Linked DNA regions of Rhinolophus ferrumequinum. The protein of the gene in region 1 interacts with the protein of each later gene in a pairwise test. Links are inferred from orthologs where the notes say so. Each region holds a gene or a part of one and is shown on either strand. Other genes may lie near its edges. The genes, in order: CHAF1A and MBD1.

What was found.
Region 2: the proteins of CHAF1A (region 1) and MBD1 interact in binary tests that used the Homo sapiens proteins (3 or more experiments, as listed by UniProt). The link is inferred for Rhinolophus ferrumequinum from reciprocal best matches to the Homo sapiens genes CHAF1A and MBD1.

The regions. Positions count from the first base shown.
Region 1 is NC_046301.1:59,302,447-59,314,182, reverse strand, and holds the start of CHAF1A (chromatin assembly factor 1 subunit A), read left to right. Parts: upstream 1-5,403; 5' UTR 5,404-5,454; coding exon 5,455-5,722; intron 5,723-8,711; coding exon 8,712-8,753; intron 8,754-9,472; coding exon 9,473-10,341; intron 10,342-11,736. Other genes in the region: SH3GL1 (endophilin-A2), read right to left, coding at 2,933-2,977. UniProt on the Homo sapiens protein: Acts as a component of the histone chaperone complex chromatin assembly factor 1 (CAF-1), which assembles histone octamers onto DNA during replication and repair.
Region 2 is NC_046302.1:41,088,544-41,100,600, reverse strand, and holds the start of MBD1 (methyl-CpG-binding domain protein 1), read left to right. Parts: upstream 1-7,497; 5' UTR 7,498-7,692; intron 7,693-9,084; 5' UTR 9,085-9,109; coding exon 9,110-9,219; intron 9,220-12,057. Other genes in the region: CXXC1 (CXXC-type zinc finger protein 1), read left to right, coding at 108-110, 960-1,078, 1,180-1,280, 1,562-1,797, 1,889-2,068, 2,483-2,506, 2,583-2,828, 2,994-3,101 and 7 more. UniProt on the Homo sapiens protein: Transcriptional repressor that binds CpG islands in promoters where the DNA is methylated at position 5 of cytosine within CpG dinucleotides. Binding is abolished by the presence of 7-mG that is produced by DNA damage by methylmethanesulfonate (MMS).

The DNA.
Region 1 (11,736 bases):
CCCCAACTCGTGACAACCCAAAACCGTCTCCGGGATTGCGAAATGTCCCCAGGAAGGTGCACAGGGGTAGAGCAGAGAGAGCAGGGATAGTCAGCCCTGGCTGAGATGCACGGATGCAAACTTACACCTTCTCAAAAATACCAGATGCCAAAGACACTCTGGGGTTCTCAGGATGTGGATGCTGAGTTTTCTGTACATGTCCATCTGTGTATATGTGGTTATCTGTGTGTTAACAACTGGGAAGCGCTGGCAGCTGCCACAAGAGTGGCTCAGGTGGGATTTTTGTTGTTGTCTTTGTACAATGGCCCTCACTTTTCTCGCACCTGAAAGCAGGATTTCTCAACCTCAGCACTGCTGACATCTGGGGCCAGAGAATTCTTGGTTGTGGGGGCGCCCAGTGCACTGTAGGGTGTGAAGCAGCATCCCTGGCCACCACTCACTAGATACCAGTAGTAACCCAAGGTGTGACACCCAAAAGTGTCTCCCTATATTGCCCATGTCCCCTGGAGGGCGGAAGTGGCCCTGGTTGAAAAGCACTGTTCTAGAGGAGGATAAATGTCCCCAAATCTTTTTGTTTAAAAAGGGGAATACATTTACCCTTGGGCCAGATAAGTGAGGCCAGTTGAGACGGACTGGTTTAAAGCATTTACTGTCTGTTCACACTAAGAATTCAATAAATATTATTACTACATTAACAAGAGACATTCCTCTTCAACGGACAACCCTATTCTGAGGGCATAGAAGAGGATGAAAGAGGTATTCCTTAGACCAAGAGAAAGAAACACAATTAGATGAACACAGCCAGATAAACAATGGAGATGCTAGAGGACCGTGGAAACTATTGCAGAAGAGAATGGAACATAGCCAGGCTGATTTCCTGAGAGGACAACACAACCTGGAATTGACCAGGCGGCCAAGACGACCATGCAGGTTAGGACGTGGCCATCACAGCAGTTCTTTGAGGCTGGGCCTCAGCTAATAAACTGAAATGAACCACCAGCTTACACTGCACTGTGCTTGTCAGGTTTCAAAGCACTCGTCACAGATCTAAATGCAGGCCATCCTGTTTGCCCCTGACAGAAAAAGCTCTGGTGGCTGGCCTGAAAGGCCCAGCTAGTTCCTCTGGCATAATGTGTCTGATTGGGATGGGCCACCAGCATGGGCCCTGATAGCTGGGGGTGGGACAGGGAGGGCTCCCACAGACCTGTCTGCATGAAGGAACAAAGTGGCCCAGGAATTCTTCCAAGAACTATGGAAACATCAGTCCTGCAAGAGGGACTACATTGGGGTCCAAGACAGTGAGCAGCTTTCCCAGAAAAGAGACATCCAGTCAAGCACCCAGCGGTCTGCTGTCTGCTGGGCAGGGTCTAACCCAGGACCAGGTCACTTCATTCCATCCTGTTAGGTCAAAGGGCTGTACTCTCAGCAACAATCTCAGAATCCCTCGGGAGTAAGTCTCTCTTCCTCTAGGGTTTAGCCAACATCTGGGGTCTACAGACAGACTCCAAATATCTTTAGCTCTAGACAACCACTACGGTTGTGACTTTTCCCCTTGGGGGGCAAAAGGTACTAGCATGTGTTACTGGAGACGCATTTTTCTTCCCTCCCACTGGCCCTCTTCAAATTGGGAGTACAGCCCAGTTGGCCAGCATGGCCTAGACAATTTGGAGGATTACCACTCATTCCTCTATGGAGTCTATTCATAAAAACTCCACACCTATGGTTCTTAAGCTGGGATGCGATGCTGGGACTAGCAGTATTCAAGGAACCCAGGGCTTCTTGCCCCCGACTTCCCAAAAAACCTACACTACCCATCACATATAAAACACCTATATTCTTGGATTCAGCATTCCACTTCTGGGAATTTATCCTATAAATCCAATCCCCCCTGTGAGCAAAGGTATTTGCTAGCTATTCACTGCAGTATTGTTCATAGCACAAAACTACTGGAAACAGTATAAACATCCATCAATAAACGACTGATAAAATTAATTATGGTACACGTCATGAAATGGAATACCAGAAACCCATTAAAAAGATCCAAGAAGCCCTAGGGGTATGTTCTAGTGCAATAACTCTGGGGGAGAGGAAGGAAGGGGTTCCCCCAGGGACATCTGGCAGCGACCAGAGACATCTGTGGTTGTCACGACCGGGAGGCTGCTCCTATGAGTGAGTGGGGGCCAGGGATGCTGCTCAACACCCCACAGTGCCCAGGACGGCCCCCCCAACCACAGAGTGACCCAAGGTGGAGAATTCCAGCTTTAGTGTGATCTCCAAGACAGATTTAACAAAAAACTCAAAGTACATAGGACTATGTGGACTATGCTACACCACCTGTGTGTGTTTTTAAAGGGAAGGCGTACATATACCTTGGAAAGAGACACACATAAGTCGTTGGTGACAGTCCTTGTCTCTGAGGGAGATGGACTGAATGCCTGAGGGCCTGGAGTGAGAAATTGACTTTTCCCTCTACCCTTTCAACTTTGTACCGGGTCCATTGAAAGAGATTTTTTTGTTGCTGGTGTTTTTAAGTAGTTGTTCTAGACACAAAATTTTCCTGCCCCTGCGCTATCTGGCAAGAGTCGTGTGTCCACAGCCTTGGGACTGTTTCTTCCCTCTTCTCTCTCCCCCACCCGGCCCTTTCCAGGGAAGGCGAGGAGGGGTCCACGTCCCGGTCCAACCTCTGGGTGCCTCTCTCTGTCCCAGCCAGGGGTCTGCCCATCCTTCTCGAGAAGACTGGAGCCCACATGGCAGGCAAGGCCTGGGCCACCTCGCACCAAGCCCCCGGCCCTCCTGGGCTCTCCCCACCCTGCGAGGGACACGTGCCCTCGGTGTCCCCGGCCACCTCCCTAATTAGGGCCGGGCCTAACCCGACCCCTAATTCCGGGAAGCCGGGGCTCCGGGACTCGCCCTAGCTATGGCCTCCGCTTACCTGGCTCGCCTTGTAGAACTGCTTCTTCAGCCCCGCCACCGACATTCTGCCTTCCGCCGTCCGACCTCCCGCCGGGACCCAGCGAACCGGAGGGACAGCGCAAGCGACAGGCTCCCGGGCGCCGCCGACCCCCCGTGCGCCTCAGCGGGCCCCGTCGGCACCGCCTCCGCCGCCCTCTTGCCAGCTCCGCTCCCACCCCTGCGCCGCCTCAGCCCGTCGCGCGCCCGCGCGGCCAGGATATTACATGGCAACCGCACACTTCCGGCCCCGTCTGCGCACGCGCGCCCCCTGCTGTCCGGAAGGCGCACGCGCACTTCGCTTGCTGCGGGAGCGGCCGCTTCTGCCAGCGAGTGGACCCGGGCGAGCCTAGAGCGGCCCTGGCGGATGCAGCGTCCCCTGGAGTGCCGGAGGTGGCTCTAACGTCTTAGGAAATGCGCTTAAGCCTTTCTGGAGAGGTTGGGAGACTGGGTTTCAGTCTCCAGATACCTGTTTGCTAATCTCAGCTATACCGAATTCATCTACGCGTTTAGTCCCTCCTGTCTAATCCCCAACCTTGCCCCATCTTCATCCATTCGGTTGCCCAAGTCAGACATCAGGGTGTTGCTTCTACTTCCTTTTCACGATCCCCACTGTCCTCTCTGCCCTGACCAGACCACTGCACCAGCAGCCTCTTCTTTGGTGAGCCCACCTTCAGGTTTCCCCCTCCAGTTCATCCCTTACCAGGAAGCCAGAAATATGCCTCTGTAACATGATTCAGATCACAGTCCCCTGTTTAAAGTCTGCCTACTGCCCTTAGAATACATTCCCAACTTCCTAACATGGCCTACAAAGCTTGCACAATTTGGCCCAGTCAACCCTCTGATTTCGGCTCTCTTCCTCTTCTATTGTCCATGATCCCTGTTGCCTGTGGGCCTTTGCTAAAGTTGTACCTCTCTTGCACATTCTTCTCTAATCTTCCCCCCCCCAACATTTGTGTATAAGAGGAATCTGCTTGGAATGTCTCCTGCTCCAGGAAGCCTTCCCGGATTGATACATATTTATCAACAGTGACTTTTAAAATTAATTCTTATTGATGAAAACATATTGAATGAATTTGAAATTAATAATGAGTTGGAACAAGTAAAGAATCCAAAAAGAGGAACAAGAAAGTGACTAGAGCTAAAGTGCTTGCAACTTCAGTGCTGAAATCTCTGACACATTTTCTGAAGCAGAAGGGTACTGAAAGTTTCCAAATGCCTAACAGAAGGTATGGACTACATCAGAGGATTTTTTTCAGAATATGCATGCCCCCACCTCCCTCCCAAAGATTTTAATGAGGCTACTATGAATGATTAGAAAAAATAGCCCCTGTGATTATGATGGACACCCTCAACGGTGATCCATGGTCTAAACATTGCATAATCCACTGGTCTAAATCATTGCATAATGCCAAAATATCAGAGAAGAGAGAGAAAACGTCCTCAGGGTTCACATGGGGAAACTGAGGACTTTAGTAAGACATAAGTTGCCCAAACTGATGTCCCCAAATTTTCAATTTCTCCAGATTGCTTCCAACTAATTCTACTGATTTAATTTTATTCAATCTATAGTATCAATAGAATTTCAAATTTGGACTCCCTTTCAGTCTTCTGCTCTGCTTGAGAGATTAAATTTTTGCTGAAGTAAACCTGTTTCTAAGGCTTGCAGGCTGACACCGAGTGTTGTGTGTGAGGCTTTTAACCTACACGGATCACACAGTCCAAATGATATTTATGCATTCACGCAAGTATTTATTGAGTACCTACTAATGTATTAGTCATTGATAGGTCCTGGGGATACAGTGATTCATGATTACTGCCCTCATGAAACTAATGACAAAAACAGAAATTCAGTTATTAATCATGTAACAATTATGATTAATCATAAACATAAGCTGTAATTGCTTCAAGAAAAAGAACGTTGTAGGCACTTTTTGTTGGGGGTAAAGGAAAAAAGGTTTCTCTGAGGTGTCAATCTAAGATCTGAAAGATAGGTAGAAATTAGACAGGAAAGGAGTTACGGAGCTTTCTAGTTGAGAAAACAGCGTGTGCAAAAATCCCGAGGATTAAACCAGAAAAATCCATTTCATTAATTCCCTCTGAATATATTTACTGCGTATCAAATGCTTCTGAAGTATTGCCCAGATTTTACTTTATTTTTGTTTATATAAAAAGTAACTTAAAGTTTTAATTGCTGTTGGTATGTTTAGCGGATGTCCTATTAGGATACACCCACAACTTCAGTCTTCATCTAAATCGCAGTTTCAGGTTGTGACGCCGCTGCACGTAAAACGTTTCGTCATGACCCTGGCCCTCTCGCCTATTGGCCTAGCCCACGCACTCAGCCAATCACAGTGACGATCTCTCAGCTTGACACTCTCCACCGCCAATTGAAGAACGCCTCCTGCCCGCCAATGACGAGACGCCGGGAGGAAGACCGCCACTCCGCGGGAATATCAAAAGGGGAGCCAAGGGGGAGGAAGGGAAGCCACGGATCTCGCGAGGATGCTTCCAGCGCTCCCTTCTTCCCGAGGCGGGACGTCACGTGATGCGGCCTCGTCCAATCGGCTCGCGGGCTGCGGGGGTCGCAGCGGTTCCCGCCAAATACGAGCGCGGCGGCCGCGGCAGCAGCGGCGCGGGCGGGAGGGCGAGCAGTCGCGGCCGCCGGAGTGGAGCCAGCGTCTCCGCCGCCCGAGGGGAGCTCGAGCCGCCGCCGGGGCGATGTTGGAACAGCTGGAGTGCGGGGCGCCGGCCCCTAGGGGAGCGGCCGCAGGTCAGTTCCGCCCGCGCGGAGGGGAAGGGGATACGGTTATCGGCCTGTGCGGGCCGAGGAGGCGATTGGGGGCGGAAGGGCCTACTGATCCCGGGCCGCTTCTCTGCGCGGTGCGTTCGGTCTGTGAGGTCGTTACAATCTCGAGGAAGGGCCTTGCGACCCGAATGGCGCCCTCCCTGACGTTATTGTTGCAGCCGCGACCATTTTTTCCCCGTGCTTTGGCGTTAAGTTCGTTTTTCTAGGGCCCTTTGCGGTGACGGGTCGGTGTGGCCAGGAAGGGAAACTGAGGCCCAGGGAGGTGAAAGGACCGATTCTGAAGGTTGCATTAGTCTCCACTGAGCAAGTTGGACCCTGCAGCGACCCTCTGGCCGGGTAGGGAAACTGAGGCCCAGGGTCACAGCTGCGTCTGCGGGTCAGGGCAAGCCCAGGTAAGACGCCTGGATGGTGGGAATGTCAGGGAGCTGCGACTCCCTGATTCTTGATCCTGGTGGATATACAAGGTGAAGACCTGTCTTTCTCTTCTGTGTGTCTTGGAAGGGGTTTTCTAGCACCTAACAGCCCCCCCCCCATACGTAGTGTGGTGTACCAAAGAAGACTAGACTGCCCTCCCCTCTGCTTGACTCCCAGCACTTGGCAAAATGCTTGGCACATAGTAGGTGTCGGATAGATATGTGTTGGTTGAATAAATTAAGAGTTGGCAGGGACATCAACTGGACTAATTCAGGGTTTCTCAACCTCAGCACTATTGACTTTTGGGGCCCTCCTGTGCACTTGAGGGTGCTGAGTGGCATCCCCGGCCTCCACCCAATAGATGCCAGTAGCAACCCCACCTCCCCAAGTTGTGACAACCAAAAATGTATCCACGCACTGCCAAGGGCCCCTGCGGGGCAGAACCACTGTTCTAATTGTTTCCAGATTTGGGGATTTCACAAAGACATAAAATTCATATAAATAAAGTTGGGACTGATTGTCATGGACAGTCATTTGACCCAGTAAGAATGTTTAAAAAGTAAAAAAAAGCATCACCTGCTATGACTGTACTATTATAAAAGGAAAGGATATTTTAATAGCAAGTAAAATTAGGTGGGGTATAATATCAGGATAAAGAGCAGTGGTGAGTTTATATGTGAATGTGTCTTAATTGTATGTGTATCTTTGAACAGTCTAGAGGTCCCTCTTGGTTGACCTAAGGTCTGTTCTACTTGCATCAAAGTTGGTGTCAGATCCATACCAATAATTGCATGGGAATCCATGTGTTTGGTAACTGAAAGCTTCAGAATGATAGTGTCTTGAAATGGGTAGAATGGAAATATGAGTCTTCTGGGTACCTTCCTTATATTTCCAGCTTGGAAGTGCGGAGGGTGGTTTCATCTATGGACAGCTGAGTTCTTTAGAAATCCCCGATCTTTACTTGTATATATGTTGTACAAAACATATGTAGATTACCCAAAATAAACTGGATTTCTCCAAGCCAGATTTCCTAGCAGGTGCAAGCTTCTAAACTTATTCTGACTGTTTAAAGATATTTGTCCAAAGACTTGAACTATTTGCTCATATGGTCATTCCTGTATCAGCTGTGATATTATGAGATGCTTCTCTTGAGAGTTTTTTGATGCAGGAAAACATTCTCCCTTATTATTTTTTATTGTTTTGTTTTAAAAGATTTTATTGGGGAAGGGGAACAGGACTTTATTGGGGAACAATATGTACTTCTAGGACTTTTTTCCAAGTCAAGTTGTTGTCCTTTCAATCTTAGTTGTGGAGGGTGCCGTTCAGCTTCAAGTTGTTGTCCTTTCAGTCTTAGTTGTGGAGGGCGCAGCTCAGCTCCAGGTCCAGTTGCCATTGCTAGTTGCAGGGGGCGCAGCCCACCATCCCTTGCGGGAGTCAAGGAATCAAACTGGCAACCTTGTGGTTGAGAGGATGAGCTCCAACCAACAGCCATCAGGGAGCTCAGCGGCAGCTCAGCTCAAGGTGCCGTGTTCAATCTTAGTTGCAGGGGGTGCAGCCCACCATCCCTTGCGGGACTGGAGGAATTCAACTGGCAACCTTGTGGTTGAGAGCCCACTGGTCCATGTGGGAACCAAACCGGCAGCCTTTAGAGTTAGGAGCACGGAGGGAGCTCTAACCGCCTGAGCCACTGGGCTGGCCCTCCCTTACTATTTTTTGACAGCACTTAAGCTCCTGCCTAGCAAGCGCAAAATGCTTTAAGTTGCATTACTTTCATAAACTCTATTTAAAAAGAAAATCCTATTCTAATTTTACAGAACTAGTTGGATTGGAGAAGAGGATGTTTTGGGGTCATATTAATAGTGACATCATTGATACAGTGTTTTCTCTTATCTCTGTTTTTATTTATTACCCCCTTCATTGTTGCTGTTACTGTATTCATTGATTTCATACTGCTGTGTTTCCCCGAAAATAAGACCTAACCGGAAAGTAAGCCCTAGTATGATTCTTCAGAATGACATCCCTGAACATAAGCCCTAATGCATCTTTTGAAGCAAAAATTAATATAAGACCCAGTCTTATTTTCGGGGAAACACGGTATGTGCCAGATCCCGAGCTAGGTGGTCCAGGCAAGTCTCCCCACTGTCAGGGGGGTGGGGAGGAGAGACATAATAAACAATGTAAGTTTCAGAGCTATAAATGCCACAGGAAAATAAACAAAGAAGGTGTGACAGTGTCCAGGGCAGGATTTCTTAACCTACTGACATTCTGGACCAGGTAATTGTCAGCTGTAGGTAGCTGTCTTGTGCATTGTAGAATATTCAGCAGTATCCCTCTCTTCTACCCAGTAGATGCGAATACTCCCTTCCGCCTGTCTGGACAATCAAAAGCGCCCCTAGACATTGCCAAAGGCCCCAGGGTGTGGGTGGCAAAGTCACCCCTACTGGACAACCACTTCGTACAGAATAGGTGCTACGTATGTATTTGCTCCTTCATTATTTCCAGCATGTAATAACTTATCCTTTGACACTTTTATTCACAGCCATGGATTGCAGAGACCGACCAGTCAAGAAGTTAATACAAGGTAACTTTCCAGTAATGGGTTAAATATTTGTTCCAAATTTATATTCTTCATTGTCTCCTTAATTATATTTTTAATTCCCCTTGAGCAGCATTCTCAGAGGTAGCATCAAGGGGGGGGGAAACAGTTGCACCTCACTTTTAGAAGCTGGGGAACCCATTTTATTGCACTACTGTTTCCTTAGACTCCCAGGAGCAAATCCAGAGGTCACTGCCTTTGCAGCAGGCTTTCTCTACTTCAGCACTATTGATACTTTGTAATTTTTTGGACTGGAGGGTGCTGTGTTGTAGAGAGTTTAGCAGCATTCCTCGCCTCCTCCCTCAAGGCATGACAACCAATGTCTCCAGACACTGCTAGAGGTTGGCTGCTGAGCACAGCTGCCCCAGATGAACCACTGTTGTATAGGAAGATAAATATCCCTAAACTCTTTTGTGTAAAAGGGGAGTGAATTTACACTGAGGCCAGATTAGTGGCTGGTTGATATTAAAAAACCATGGTTTCTGGTTTTTAAAACTTGGTATCTAGTTCCCCCCCAGCCCCGCCCCCAATAGCAATTTGCCTTCTCCTGTGACAACCGATGGCAAGTTTTATAAACTGATAAATTATGAACCCTACCCCCAAACCCAGCAAGGTCAATCATTTTTGAGCACATGGAATAAAGTATTGATCGATTGTTACTCTTCACACTTTCACTGTAAAGATGGCCTCCTCCTGTGTTTCAGCTCGTCTGCCCTTCAAGCGCCTGACTCTTGCCCCAAAGGAGAAACCAGAGGACGGGTTGGATGACACAAGAAGCTCTCCGAGCGCTCCTGCACAAAGTCAAGTCCCTGATGTCGAAACCTCTTTGGACAACTTGAAGAACAGCTTTCATATGGGTTCTAACATAGATTTTAGGCCAAAAATTGTCAATGGGAAGGGTCCCTTAGATAACTTTTTAAGAAATAGAGTGAAAACCAATATTGGGCAGACCACGGTCATCATTGATTTGGTGGAGGACTCGAGTGACCAACGAGACGCCACGATGGCCCACAGTGAACTAAATTCTGCATCCTCTCCCTCCACGGAGGCTGTAAATGGGCTCAGAGGAGAAGCTGGATATGCAGAGGGGCTGCCACAGGCCAGTCAGAAGGATGAGCTGACATTTCCTGGAGAGACCCTTTCAGACATTCTGTGCAAAACAGAGGACGATGGTGTTGCCGGCTCGGGGGGCACAGAGAGGAGCAGAGATGCACAGAAAGGCTCACCCCAAAGCTGCCCCCAGCTGACACACAGTCTGAGAATGTGCTCCGAGAAGGACCAGGATGGTTGGAGCGAAGCCGGGGGCATCCTGTTCAGAGGGAAGGTGCCCGTGGTGGTCTTACAGGATATCCTGGCTGCGAAACCTCCTGGAGCCAAGTCTTCTCTCACAGCCCCTCCAGACCAGGGCGTGCTCTCGGAGAGTGACGTGCTGGAGTCCGGCCCCGAAGAAGACTCTGTCCTCAGCCCTTCATCCCTGAGCTCTTCTCCTACTAGCTCACCCGAGGGGCGGTCTGCTTCCAAAAAGCAGCACAGCAGCCCCTGTCCCTTCCCCACGTCCACACCTGTCCGCAGAGTGAGTATCTCCCCGCGTCTCAGGTTGTCGGTGCTGACGACGCTTCTGGTTCCGCCCCTGTTCACCTGGGCACACAGTATCCCCGAGGTGGTTAGTGGGCAAGTGAGAGGGGCCACAGACTAGGTCCTTGACTTCCGAGGTAGAATTTTGATTCTTTCCAACATCAGAAACCATGAGGGGTATTCAGTGACACGGACAGCTAGTGGCTGGGTTAGTCACCAGTGTGTCCATGACATTCTGGTAGCCTTTGTTCACCCCTAGTTAATGGTGCTGGTCAACTTAGCCATTGCAGGGAACGATGGAGGTCAGCAGAGAACTGTGAACCCCTCATGTCAGACTTGAGCTTCTACTCCCTCCATTGCTTCTTCCTGTTACAACACAGACTTGTAGGAGTGTCGGTGAGAAAGAATCTGTCAGTGTTAGCAAAGAGACCCCAAGATGGCAGGTGACTGAAATGGGGGATTCTGTAGTCGGCTCTCGCCAGCATGGCCACCCACTTAAAAACCTTACCCAGAGCAATAGGAACAAAAAGAGAAAGCTGGCATCATTTTTAAGGACCCCAGAAGGATGACTTGAAATTTTTGGTCAAAAATTTTGGTTTCTGATCAGCACAATGGCGAATGTTTCTGTTCTCGCCTGTCCTTAAAATCTTATGGGTAAAACTGGTGAAGTCAATCAAGAGTCCTGAAATGTGTTTAATGGTGTTTTTTGGTTGTTTTTTTTGGTTGTTTTTTTGGTTTTGTGGAACTTTTGTTCATCTTATATATTTTTTTTTTACTATAAGATTCGATCAGAGTGGGTCATTGAATCTCTACCGGCTTAATTTGACCATAAACCACCAACCTTGGTCGTTTTCTGAAATTTGATCTCTTAAGGAACTAATTATTTTCTAGGTTATTCCATTTCTTGTTTTTCACCTCCTGAGGAGTATAGGAGAAAGGAGAAAATTACTTCTCTTTAGGTTCACAAAATAAGAGTGGAGCAATCTTTTTTTCTTCTAAGTTTCTACATGTGGCAGACAGATACGCATTTTCAAACTTCCACCTGAGTCGTTATTCAGACCGAGTCGGAGTCTTTTTCACTGTCAGTCATCTTGTTCTGTCCATCCAATTGGTTGAAATCCTTCCAGACTGCTGCTAATCCTTTGCAGAATTTTGTCACATGACATGTCACAGCCAGTTAGGACACGTACACGTTTCCATTCTTCCTTTTTTTTTTTTTTTTTTTTAATTGGGGAAGGAGAACAGGACTTTATTGGGGAACAGTGTGTACTTCCAGGATTTTTTTCCCCAGATCAAGTTGTTGTCCTTTCAATTGTTGTGGAGGGCGCAGCTCAGCTCCAGGTCCAGTTGCTGTTGCTAGTTGCAGGGGGCACAGCCCACCTTCCCTTACGGG
Region 2 (12,057 bases), on another chromosome or scaffold:
GCGGAAGTAGTTGTGGGCACCTTTGCAACCGCCGCGGACACCGTAGAGTGGTGTAGGTTCGCGGGTCGCTGGCGGGGACCGCGAAGGAGTGCGCAGAGAGTCGAGAGATGGTGAGTACGGGGTCCCGGGAGAGGGTTGGCGGTAGAGGTTAGTGGGTTTGGTAATGGTGGGGTCCTTCGGCAGACGCGTGGGGGGTCTGTGGTGAACCGTAACTGGAGTCTGGGCAGAATTGAGGGGGCCTGTGGAGAGCCTTAACAGGGTTCTCTGGGAGGAATGATGACTGTCGGATGGTCTGATGGTTTTTCTGATACGTGAGCCATGTGGGAATTTTGTGATGAGCCATTGTGGGTGTCCGTAATAGAAGTTTAGTGAGGAACCCTGATGGTAGTTCCTTGGGAGTCCGAATGGGGGATTCTTTGGGCAGAGTGATAAAGAGTTTGCGATGAGCCATGTTAGGTAGTCTGTAGTGCACCGTGGTGACTCTGTATCAAGGAGTCCATGGGGAACCAGGATGGGGGCGAGGGTGACTGTGGGGTTAATAACGCGGGATGTGTGGGGAGCTGTGATGCGAAGGCTGTAGCTGAATTACGAGATGTTTGTGAGAACGCGTTGTGGGCCGGGTCTGTGAGGAGCCACAGTGGGGGCAGTGTGTGGCGAGCGGTAGGGTGTTTGTAACGAGCTTTTATGAATGTGTGGCTAGGATGATGGGGTGTCAGCGAGGTAAGTATGGGAGGTCTGGGGCTGAGCAATGGGGGTTTATAAGCAGAGTAATGGGGTGTCAGGGGTGATTGATGTGGGGGTCTGTGGGGACCATGACGGAGGGATTTATGAGGCGCCAAGATGGGAATTCTGTTGGCAGAGTGTTGGGGTCTATGGTGAGCCCTGGTGAAATTATAATGGAGGGAGAAGATGCTATGATGGGGGTCCTCTAAGAAGCCATAATTGGGGGGATCCCACAGGAGGGTGACGGTTCAGATCCAGAGCCTCCAGATGCTGGAGAGGACAGCAAGTCGGAGAATGGGGAGAATGCACCCATCTACTGCATCTGCCGCAAACCAGACATCAACTGCTTCATGATGTGAGCCAGGGAGAGGTGGGCGGGACTGACAGCTGGCAAGGTTGGGTGAGGCCGATGGGTCCCGCCCCTCACATCTGCACCACTCGCCTCATCCTCTGCAGTGGGTGTGACAACTGCAATGAGTGGTTCCATGGGGACTGCATCCGGATCACTGAGAAGATGGCCAAGGCCATCCGGGAATGGTACTGTCGGGAGTGCCGAGGTGAGGGGCGCGTGGAATGGACTGGGTAAGCAGGTGGGGCTTTGAGGGAGGAGAAGGAGCCATAATGGGAGGCTGGGTCTCAGGGAATAGTGATACGTGTCTGTGGGCAGAGTGATTGTTCTGTAGTGAGCAATAATAGAGAGTCACACTGGAGGGGGCAGCTGTACTCTGGAGTAGGGGGACAGACCATTGGGTGGGACAGGAAAGAAGAGGGAAAAAGAGTTCTGGGATAACCCAAATCCCCAATGTCAGCCTCCCCGGCCTCATCCTCTGTTCTACAGAGAAAGACCCCAAGCTGGAGATCCGCTATCGGCACAAGAAGTCACGGGAACGGGACAGCAATGAGCGAGACGGCAGTGAGCCCCGGGATGAGGGTGGAGGGCGCAAGAGGCCTGCCCCGGATCCAGACCTGCAGCGCCGGGCGGGGTCAGGGACAGGGGTTGGGGCCATGCTTGCTCGGGGCTCTGCTTCGCCCCACAAATCCTCTCCACAGCCCTTGGTGGCCACACCCAGCCAGGTGAGTGGCTGTGGTGGCAGGGATAAGTAAGGTGATCCCATCTCAGGCCCAACTTGGGTTCCTGACTTGTGTTCTGGGCCCCTTCCTTCAGCATCACCAGCAGCAGCAGCAGCAGATCAAACGGTCAGCCCGCATGTGTGGCGAGTGCGAGGCCTGCCGACGTACTGAAGACTGTGGCCACTGTGACTTCTGCCGGGACATGAAGAAGTTTGGGGGCCCCAACAAGATCCGGCAGAAGTGCCGGCTGCGTCAGTGCCAGCTTCGGGCCCGGGTGAGCATGGGCAGAGCTGGGCAGGGTCAGGTTAGGGGGCCAGTGTGTTCAGGAAGAGCTCATTGAGCCTAGGATGGGTGGGCTAGGTGGGGTGGGGCCTAACTGCATAGAGACAGGTGGAAAGGAGCCAGGCTTGTCCAGGTGAATGGGGCTTGGCCAGGTGTGCTGGGCTAGCAGGGGAGACCCCCAAACCCAGGAAGTCAGGGTAGGGCCAGATGTTTCTAGGTCGTCAGACATGTCAGAGCAGGAGGAACATGGCTCAGCATGTCCTAGTGATGAGGGGTGGGGGGGCAGGTGTGCCTGGGTAGGCAAGGTAGGGGCTGGTTGGGGGGGCCAGGCACTTGTGGGAAAGGCTAGGGCAGGGCCACCCTCCATCCACCTGGGGCTGACCTGGGCCTTCTCCTGCCGGCACAGGAATCGTACAAGTACTTCCCTTCGGTGAGTCCAGCCCCCAGGGCGGGGCGGGGCATGCGGGCAGGTTATTCAGGGCCAGTCCTGAGATTCTGCCCTGCAGCTCTCGCCAGTGACGCCCTCAGAGTCCCTGCCAAGGCCTCGCCGGCCACTGCCCACCCAGCAGCAGCCACAGCCATCACAGAAGCTGGGACGCATCCGTGAAGACGAGGGGTCAGTGGCGTCATCCGCGGTCAAGGAGCCACCTGAGGCTACGGCCACACCTGAGCCACTCTCAGATGAGGACCTACCACTGGACCCTGACCTCTACCAGGACTTCTGTGCGGGAGCCTTTGATGACCACGGCCTGGTGAGCAGGCAGAGCCACCCAGGGTGGAAGGGGGGAGGTTACAGAAGCAGAGTATCCATAATGAGGAGAGAGGAGGCAGATGGTATGGAAGGCTATTTGGGAACTGAGTAGGTGGTGGGGAAGTCATGAGTGGGGCAGGTGGGTCACTGTATGCTTCACTTGCAGCCCTGGATGAGTGACACAGAAGAGTCCCCATTCCTGGACCCTGCGCTGCGGAAGAGGGCAGTGAAAGTGAAGCATGTGAAGCGTCGGGAGAAGAAATCTGAGAAGAAGGTGATGGAGAGGGTGAAAAGGATGTGGGAAGGAAGAGGGCACGGGCTGAATGGGGCGAGAGCCAGAAAGGGGTGGAATGCAGGGAGAGATGGGGGTCTGGGCTGACGTATACTGTCCTGACCTGCCTTGTCCCATAGAAGGAAGAGAGATACAAGCGGCATCGGCAAAAGCAGAAGCACAAGGACAAATGGAAACACCCAGAGCGCGCAGATGTCAAAGACCCCGCGTCACTCCCACAGTGCCTGGGACCTGGCTGTGTGCGCCCTGCCCAGCCCGGCTCCAAGTATTGCTCAGACGACTGCGGCATGAAGCTGGCAGCCAAGTGAGTCATTCTTGGAGGGTTCAAGGCAATAAGGGAGCATAGAGTAGGACTTGACCAGATCCCTTTGTATGTCTACCAGTCAGTTACCTGTCCACCATTCAGTCAACCACCCACCTATCCATCCTCCATCCATCCACCGTTCGGTCACTTATCTGCTCATCTATCTACCCTTCAGTCACCTATTTGCTTACCTTTCACCGTTTAGTCACCCATTCATTCTGCCATTGTTGGCTGACCCCAGTTGCTCATCTCTCGATTGCCACCTTCCCACTTACACTTAACCCACTGCTCCCTACAGCCGCATCTACGAGATCCTTCCCCAGCGTATCCAGCAGTGGCAGCAGAGCCCTTGCATTGCTGAGGAGCATGGCAAGAAGCTGCTCGAACGCATCCGCCGTGAGCAGCAGAGTGCCCGCACCCGCCTTCAGGAAATGGAGCGCCGATTCCATGAACTCGAGTCCATCATTGCACGTGCCAAGCAGCAGGCTGTGCGTGAGGATGAGGAGGTGAGCAAGCATGCGCATGGCAGCGCAGGGCCCAGTACTGGTCCTGCCGGGCCTCATTCCTTCTATTCCATGCAGAGCAACGAGGGCGACAGTGATGACACGGACCTGCAGATCTTCTGTGTCTCCTGCGGGCACCCCATCAACCCGCGTGTGGCCTTGCGCCACATGGAGCGCTGCTATGCCAAGGTCAGGGTGTCAGCCTGAGAGGGGCACACGGTGCAGGAGTATCACTGGGTCCGTGGGGGACAGATGTGTTGTCTTGGGAGGGCATGCAGCGCATGTCCACAGTTCCCTCCATTTGTGTTCATCCTTCCAGTATGAGAGCCAGACGTCCTTTGGGTCCATGTACCCCACACGCATTGAAGGGTGAGTGTGGGTACTCTGTAGGGTTAGGGCTGCAAAGTTAAAGCTGGGGTCAGAAGTGGAATGTTGTGGCAGGATATGGGCATGGGCAAGGATAAGTGAGACCTCTTCCTTCTCTCCCCCCACTACGCTCTCTCTTTTTCCAATACCCAGGGCCACACGACTCTTCTGTGATGTCTACAATCCTCAGAGCAAGACATACTGTAAGCGGCTCCAAGTGCTGTGCCCTGAGCACTCACGGGACCCCAAAGTAAGGTTTTCCCTCAACTCCCCCCATTCTGACCCTCCTACCTTCCTCACCGCTCCACCTCCTTTCCTTTTCCCACCTGACCACTTCCATAACTCACACTTTCCCTGCCTCATTACCCTTCATTCATCTTCTTTTGTACTCTCTCATCATCTCCTTTTCCTCCCCTTTTCCCTGCCTCTTCATCCTCTGTTCCTCTCCTTTTCCATTCTTCACTCTCCCTTGAACTCTCCATGCCTTCCCTCCTTGACCACTCCTCATTCTTATTTTCCTTCCTGACTTAGCACCTCTCATTCATCCCCACTCCATCTCCCTGCAGGTGCCAGCTGATGAGGTATGCGGATGCCCCCTTGTACGTGACGTCTTTGAGCTCACAGGTGACTTCTGCCGCCTGCCCAAGCGCCAGTGCAACCGTCATTACTGCTGGGAGAAGTTGCGGCGTGCTGAGGTGGACCTGGAGCGTGTGCGCGTGGTAGGTTTTGATGCCGGATGTGGCCAGGGTGAGGTGGGTCTTCCAGAACTCCTTCTCATGGCTCTTCTCCCCTGGCAGTGGTACAAGCTGGATGAGCTGTTTGAGCAGGAGCGCAATGTACGCACAGCCATGACAAACCGGGCAGGATTACTGGCCTTGATGTTGCACCAAACAATCCAGCATGATCCACTCACTACCGACCTGCGCTCCAGTGCCGACCGCTGAGCCTCACTGGCCCAGACGTCCTCACACCCTGCATTCCAGGCGTGGGAGCTTGCTGGAATCCTCTTGCTGTTTGTAATGGTCCCTGAGTTTTTCCTTGTGCCCGCCCACCATTTGACTGCCCATCAGCCCTTACCAGAGGGTCTCAGAATTTCCTCCTGTCCTTGTCTTTCCCATTTTCTCTCCATTTTTTGTTTCTGGGTGGGACTGTGGAGGCTGCTCACTCTTGCTCAGCCTCCCTGGTTTTGTTAATAAAATTTTGTGAAGAACCAAGAAAGAGAACCACTGATGGTCTCCCAACTTTACCCAGTTGCAACTGCATTCCCAAACCCCTGGGGTAGATGGGCCGTGGCACACCTGTACTCATGAGGGACTGCACTGCAGTGCATGTGTAGGCTGAGTATACAACTGGCACCCACTTGGTGCAGGTTCCCTCCTTGAGCTGTGGGCATACGACCTGCTGAGGGAAGAGCCCAATGGCCCACCATTCACAGCCTCATTTTGAGACAGTCCAGTCAGCACTCGTTCAGTGTGTGGCTAATCGATTTACTACTGCTGTGTGAGTGTTAATATTCTCCAGACCAAAGGTGTACCCGATGATCCCAAGGCCCCCTCTTTCCCCACGAACCCCTCTTTGGGGACATGTATGCAGCAGGAGTCCACTGACTTTGTGCCAGAAGCCTCACCCCACTCAATCTGCTTGGCAGGTCCAGTGGGGCTCACAGCTTGGCCTTTCCAGGATGGACCTGCCCTCATCCGTTGCATGGACCTGGCCTTTTGTTTACCTGTAGTGTGGCACTGCCCCCTTCCCCAGTTCTGGGGAAAGAGCTGGGGCCAGCTCAACATAACTTGTCTCTGCTCTCCTGCAGCTGTTCAGTGGGGAGGAGAGAGCGGGATACAAGTCTTGGGGGAGGTGTTCATAGGGACTGGGGCACCTGCGCGACCTAGGCGAGAGGAGGGCTCCAGCACAAGACCAGGCATCGCCGTGCCTCCCTCCTGGTTACTCCTTGTGGAGACCTAGCGTGAGCTTTTCATGACTATCAAAGTATCAGTCTCACACGTCTGTTCCACCTCCTGCCCCCCACTCTGGTTCAAGCCGTTGTTTCTCAAGTCTAGTTGTGTAGGACACAGCTCCCTGGCCCATGCTGGTGTTATGAGCCTTGCGCTCCCCCGGCTGAGGCAGTCGGTCGCGGGTCGGCGGCTCACGGCAGCTCTCATAGGCTGCCGGCCACGCACGCTGGCTGCACCTGGCAGCACACGGTAGCCCACGGCAACACAGCAGCCCAGGATGAGTCGTCGTTCACAATCTTCGGTATAAAGGGCGCAGCTCACTGGTCCATATGGGAATGAACCAGTCACCTAGGCGTTAGGAGCACGGCGATCCAACCACCTGAGCTATGGGGCTGCCATATGTTTGTTTCTACAATGTTAGACTTTATTAGAATTAAAGCCATGGATCTAGTCGTACCGACTGGGTTTACCACAGGCATCAACCAAGGCTCTGGCCAGAGGATAGCCTCCAATGGTCGAGGTAGAGCAGTTTCACACAAGAGGTTTGCAAGCAATAGGGTTAGGCAAGGTGAACAGTCTTAGGAAAGAAGGAGAGAGTCCGCTGTTCACCGAGAGTCGCTGGAGTGCTTGGGTGTCAGGCTGGGCAGGTGAGGCCGTCAGGAGGCAAGACTGCAAGCGCTCGGTCTGAGATGAGTGCAAATGCGGCTGTCAGTTGAGGCCTGAATGATGAGCCCTCAGAGAGCTCTGTTTTCGTTCTCAAGCCTGGGTGCGGTGCACCCATCTGTAGTCAGATAAAGCCTTCCAGATGGTCACTCTCCACCGTGCGCCTGGATAGGGTGTTCTGGTTATCTGGTTTGGGCATTCACTGGGTATGCCTTTCACGTGCTCTGGCATGACTGTCACTTTGTGACTGACATAACTATCAAAGTCATAAGTAACGCTCTATACAAGACCACTTAGGTAAGGAATTCCACGGGCCAACCCCAACCCTCTACGCCCCCTCAGGTTGGGACCAGAGAGCGCAGGCGCAAATAAGGTGGGCGGAGCGGGGAGAACGCGCTGGCGGACAACGCCAGAAGCGCACGCGCTGCGGAGCTCGGATAGGGACACGAGCCGTAGTTGGACTCAGCGCGCAAGCGCAGCTCGTCCTGGCAAAGGGCGCGCGCAGCTGCGGAACCCAGCACGCAGGCGCAGGATCCTCCCTATTAAGGGCAAGCAGAGGCGGTCATTAGCGCGCAGGCGTCTCGCTGGGAGCGGAACCCGATAGGCGGGCCCCGGATTTCCGGTGTCGGGGGCAACGAACGGCCGCGGCGGCGACAGCTACCGTTTCAGAGGAAGCTGCAGCAGAAGAGGAAGAGGAGCAGAGCCAGGCGGGAGGTACAGGCGGGACCCTCGTCATGGGTCCGCGGACCTAGAGCGGCGGAAGCTACCGGCCCGAAGCCGAGCTGGTGAGACAGTCGTGGGGGTGGAAGTAGAGAGCGCTCAGGCGGAGGATGGTGAAGAATTGAGGCTCAGAACCCTGACGGAGCGGGCCCTCGGGCCGATGAGTGGGAGGAATGGCGGCGTCGGAATATTGAAGTGGAGGAATGGGTAGATTTTAGACGGAGGACGGAGAGAAATGGGGCTCAGAACGCTGACAGTGGAAGTGTCGGGATCCTGGACGAGGACGGAGAGGAGTGGGGGAGGATCCGAGCGCTCAGGGGAGACATCGGGGCCTTTCACGTTAAGGAGAGAAATAGGTGTTCAGACCCCTGAGGGGAAGAAATGAGGTGCCCTCAGGCTGATGACGGAGAGAAATAGGGGCACTGGGATGCTGAAAGGGAGGAACGGGTCTGTTATGGAGGACGAGGAGAAACGGGTCTGAACACTGACAGGATGGCATGGTTCTGGGACAAGAACAGAGGAATGGAGGGTGTAGAATGCTGAGGGGAGAAAGCAGGATCTTTTAGGTTCATGAGAGGAATGGAGGATGAGGACGCTGAAGGGAAGGAGAAGAGAACTTCCCGGCTGCAGAAGAGAGGAATAGAGAGGTTCGGGGGCGAGATGGGGAGGAATTGTGGCTCAGAACACTGAGAGGGGACACAAGGGGGGAGGATTTCAAGCTGAGGAACAGAAGGAATGAGGGGCCATTTAGGTCAGGGTTATGGAGGAGTTGGGGACTCGGGCAGAGGACAGAGGAAACCGATGTAGTAACGCAGAGATAGCAGGATAAAAGGACATCACAGGGAAGGAATGGGAGGGTTAAAAGGCCGAAAGAGAGAAATTAGGGACTCCTGGGTCAAGGAAGGTAGTGAATGGGAATGAGAATCCTGACCGAGTGCCGGGCCCTCAGTCTGAGCAGGAGTGGAATGGGAGCCGCTGGGCCTGAGGATGGGAGGGACGAGGCCTCTCAGGCTGAGGATGGGGAGTATGAAGGTCTTGGGGACAAAGGAGAGGAGTAGAGGGCCAATAGGTGACAGAAAATGTCTCGTGGGCCAAGGACAGCGAGAATGAAGGGAAAGAGTGAGAGCCTCCTAGGTTGTCATTGGGCAGAAATGATGGCATCTCAGGCTGAGAATGGGGAGGAACGGGATCAGGACACTGCGAGTGAGGAATGAGGACCCTTGGGTTGAGGACGGGGCTATCAGGTCACAAGGGTGAGGAGTGTCAAGCTCCTGGGCCTGGGACAGGGAAGAGTTGGGTGGGAATGGGGGTTTTCTCTTCTTTATGTTGGCCAATTGCCTGTGGCAGGTCCCAGGTCTTGGGCAAGTATTAATAGATACCAGTGGTTTGTGTGGCTTGGGGCATAACATGTCACCTCCTAGAGCCTCAGTTTCTCCCGTTGCTCCTCCATGTTGCAGGCCGCTGCTCCTTCCCGTGGTCCCCATGGCTGAGGAGTGGCTGGACTGCCCAGCCCTGGGCCCTGGCTGGAAGCGCCGGGAGGTTTTCCGCAAGTCAGGTGCTACCTGTGGACGCTCAGACACCTATTATCAGAGGTACTGGGTGGGTTGTGGACAGTCAGGAAGGGCTGAGCCTGGTTAGGCAAGGTGAAATTGGGTGTGGTTAAATTTATGGGTGGAGCTAAAATTATGCATATATAGTCAATCCTTATTACTTGCAGATTCTGTATTTGTAAATTTGCCTACTCACTAAAATCTGTTTGTATCCCCAAAGTCATTACTCAGCTGTGTTTTCGTAGTCATTCGTGGACATGCACAGAACAGCAAAAAAAATTTAAGTCGCCTGGTGCACGCACTCCCAGCTTAGGTTGAATGAAGCGTTATTTCAGCACTTGTACTGTATCAAGTCCTTTTCATGGTCTACTTAGTACCAAGCTTTTTGAATTTTTGTGATTTTTATTGCTGATTTTGCTGTTTATGATGGTCCTAAAACTTAGTGCTGCAGTGCTATCTAGTGTCCTAAAGTGCAAGACGTCTGATTTGCCATAAGAAGAAAATACATGTTAAATATGCATCAGCTTCATTCAGGTGTGAGTTGTAGTGCTCTTGGCTGTGAGTTCAGTGTTAATGAATCAAAAAATATGGTACATCTAGAAAAGAAAGAGGACGTTTTTCAATTTGTATGTGAGGCTCCTCCAGAAAGTGCTAAAGTAACATCTGTAGTACGTGATGAAGCTAAGGAAAAGGTGGGAAAGTGGCTAAATTCATAGATCCATGAAATGATGAACAAATACAAAGTGTAGTGGACAGCACTGTGAGTCCTGAAAGCCAAGGACATTGATGGTCATTTCTTACCCAGGGTTAAGAAAATGTTAAACCTATTACTGCTAGTGCGGGCTGTCTCACAGGTTTCAAAAGGTGATAACGTTGTTAAAAATGTGAAATTTTCTTGCAAGGCAGGTTCTGCAAATCAAGAGTGCTGAAGATTTTTTAAAAATACCTGCAAAGTGCTACATGGGAAAAGGGTTGGGTAGAAGAGTAGATTTTCAGTGCTGGCTTGTTTTATAAGGACGTTGGCAAAGAAACCTGTATAATGCAGATGGCCTGCAAAGCTTCTGGCTTTAAATCAGTCAAAGCCATGCAGTTCATTATTTGTAAGAAGAAGATATTAAGTAGGGTGTCCTTTAAACAGAAACACACAAAAAACAAGGTTACATAGGATTAGTTTACAAGAATGTTGTGAGTAGAGGCTTGTAGGAACCTAACCTGTAGTTCCACAAGGAACAGTGGTTCTGTATTCACTAATTCAGCGTAGACTTTATAGAACCAGATGACTTTATAGAACATAACTACGATAAATAATGAAATTCAACTATAAATACACAAACTTACGTGTTTATAAACAGTTTACATTTAAGGACTTACGTTACTTTAAGGTGTACTAGTGAGGGAGGGGATGGGGAAGAAGGTGAAGGGATTAGAAAGAGCAAATTAGTAGACACAATATAGTCACGGGGATATGAAATACAGTATGGGGAATATAATCAACAATGTTGTAAGTATTATGTAAGGTGCCAGATTGGCAGTGGACGTATCAAGGGGATCACTTCATACTGTAAATGCACGATCAATGTGATGTACAAGTAAAGCTAAAGTAGGATAAAACTGTATGTCAACTGTGACTGTATGTGTGTGTGTGTATATATGTGTATATATGTGTGTATATATATATATATATGTGTATATATATATATACATATATATATATTTATGTGAGGTGGAGATAGCATAAGGAAGATAGTCAATGGTGTTATAACAGTTATATAAGATGTCAGAGGTTGCTGGTTCGATCCCGCATGGGCCACTGTAAGCTGCGCCCTCAAAAAAAAAAAAAAAAGATGTCAAAGGAGTAGTAGCTTGGGGCGGGGGCTTATCACTTTGAGAGGAGTGTAAATGTCTATTAAGTTGCTTTGTACACCTGAAACTAATAATAATAAAAAGAAGATATACTAGTGATATACTAATTAAATTTTCTACACTCTTCATGAACCTTTTTTGGGTCTAAGTTGCTGTTTTCCTGGAGGAATATAATAACATTACAAATACAGTTACATTTATATTTAGTTGTACATTTATTCACATATTTACAACTTGTATAAACGTTCAACATTGATAAATGTAAGTGCAATTATCAAGAATTGTAGAGGATCTGAGATTTTTACCCTACTTAGGTTAAGATAACAAGTGTCAGTTTAGTGGATGCTGGTAGGAGATAAGAGATTCCTGGATCAGGGATGAAAGAAAATTTATTACTCATAGCAATAACAGTATCCAGAATGTCATAATTTTTGTGTGGGTTCCCAGAATGCCAATTCCGACAGGGTCACATGAAGAGGGCTAACTAGCACACCTGTACCTGTAACTGGGTTGTATTGTGGGAAAGGAACCCTGAGCTTAAGGAATCCAATCTATTATAATGTTAGGACAGTAAGGATGTCTTCCCTTTTCTCTGGAAGGAGACCCTTTCTCTTACCTTCTAGGGTTGTTTGCTGTATAAACATCCTTGCAAAAAATAGTAGCAAAGGACATTCATTGCTTCTCTTGCAAGACATGCAGAAGTACCGTGTTTCCCCGAAAATAAGACCTAGCCATACCATCAGCTCTAGTGCCTCTTTTGGAGCAAAAATTAATATAAGACCTGGTATTATATTGTATTATACCCAGTCTTATATAAGACTGGGTGTTATATTATATTATGTTATATCATGTGATATTATACACCTTGTCTTATGTTAAAATAAGACTGGGTCTTATATTAATTTTTGCTCCAAAAGATGCATTAGAGCTGATGGTCCGACTAGGTCTTATTTTCAGGAAACACAGTACAAGGGATCTGTGGAGTATTGTCTCCCGACATTAGTTACTTATACTTTA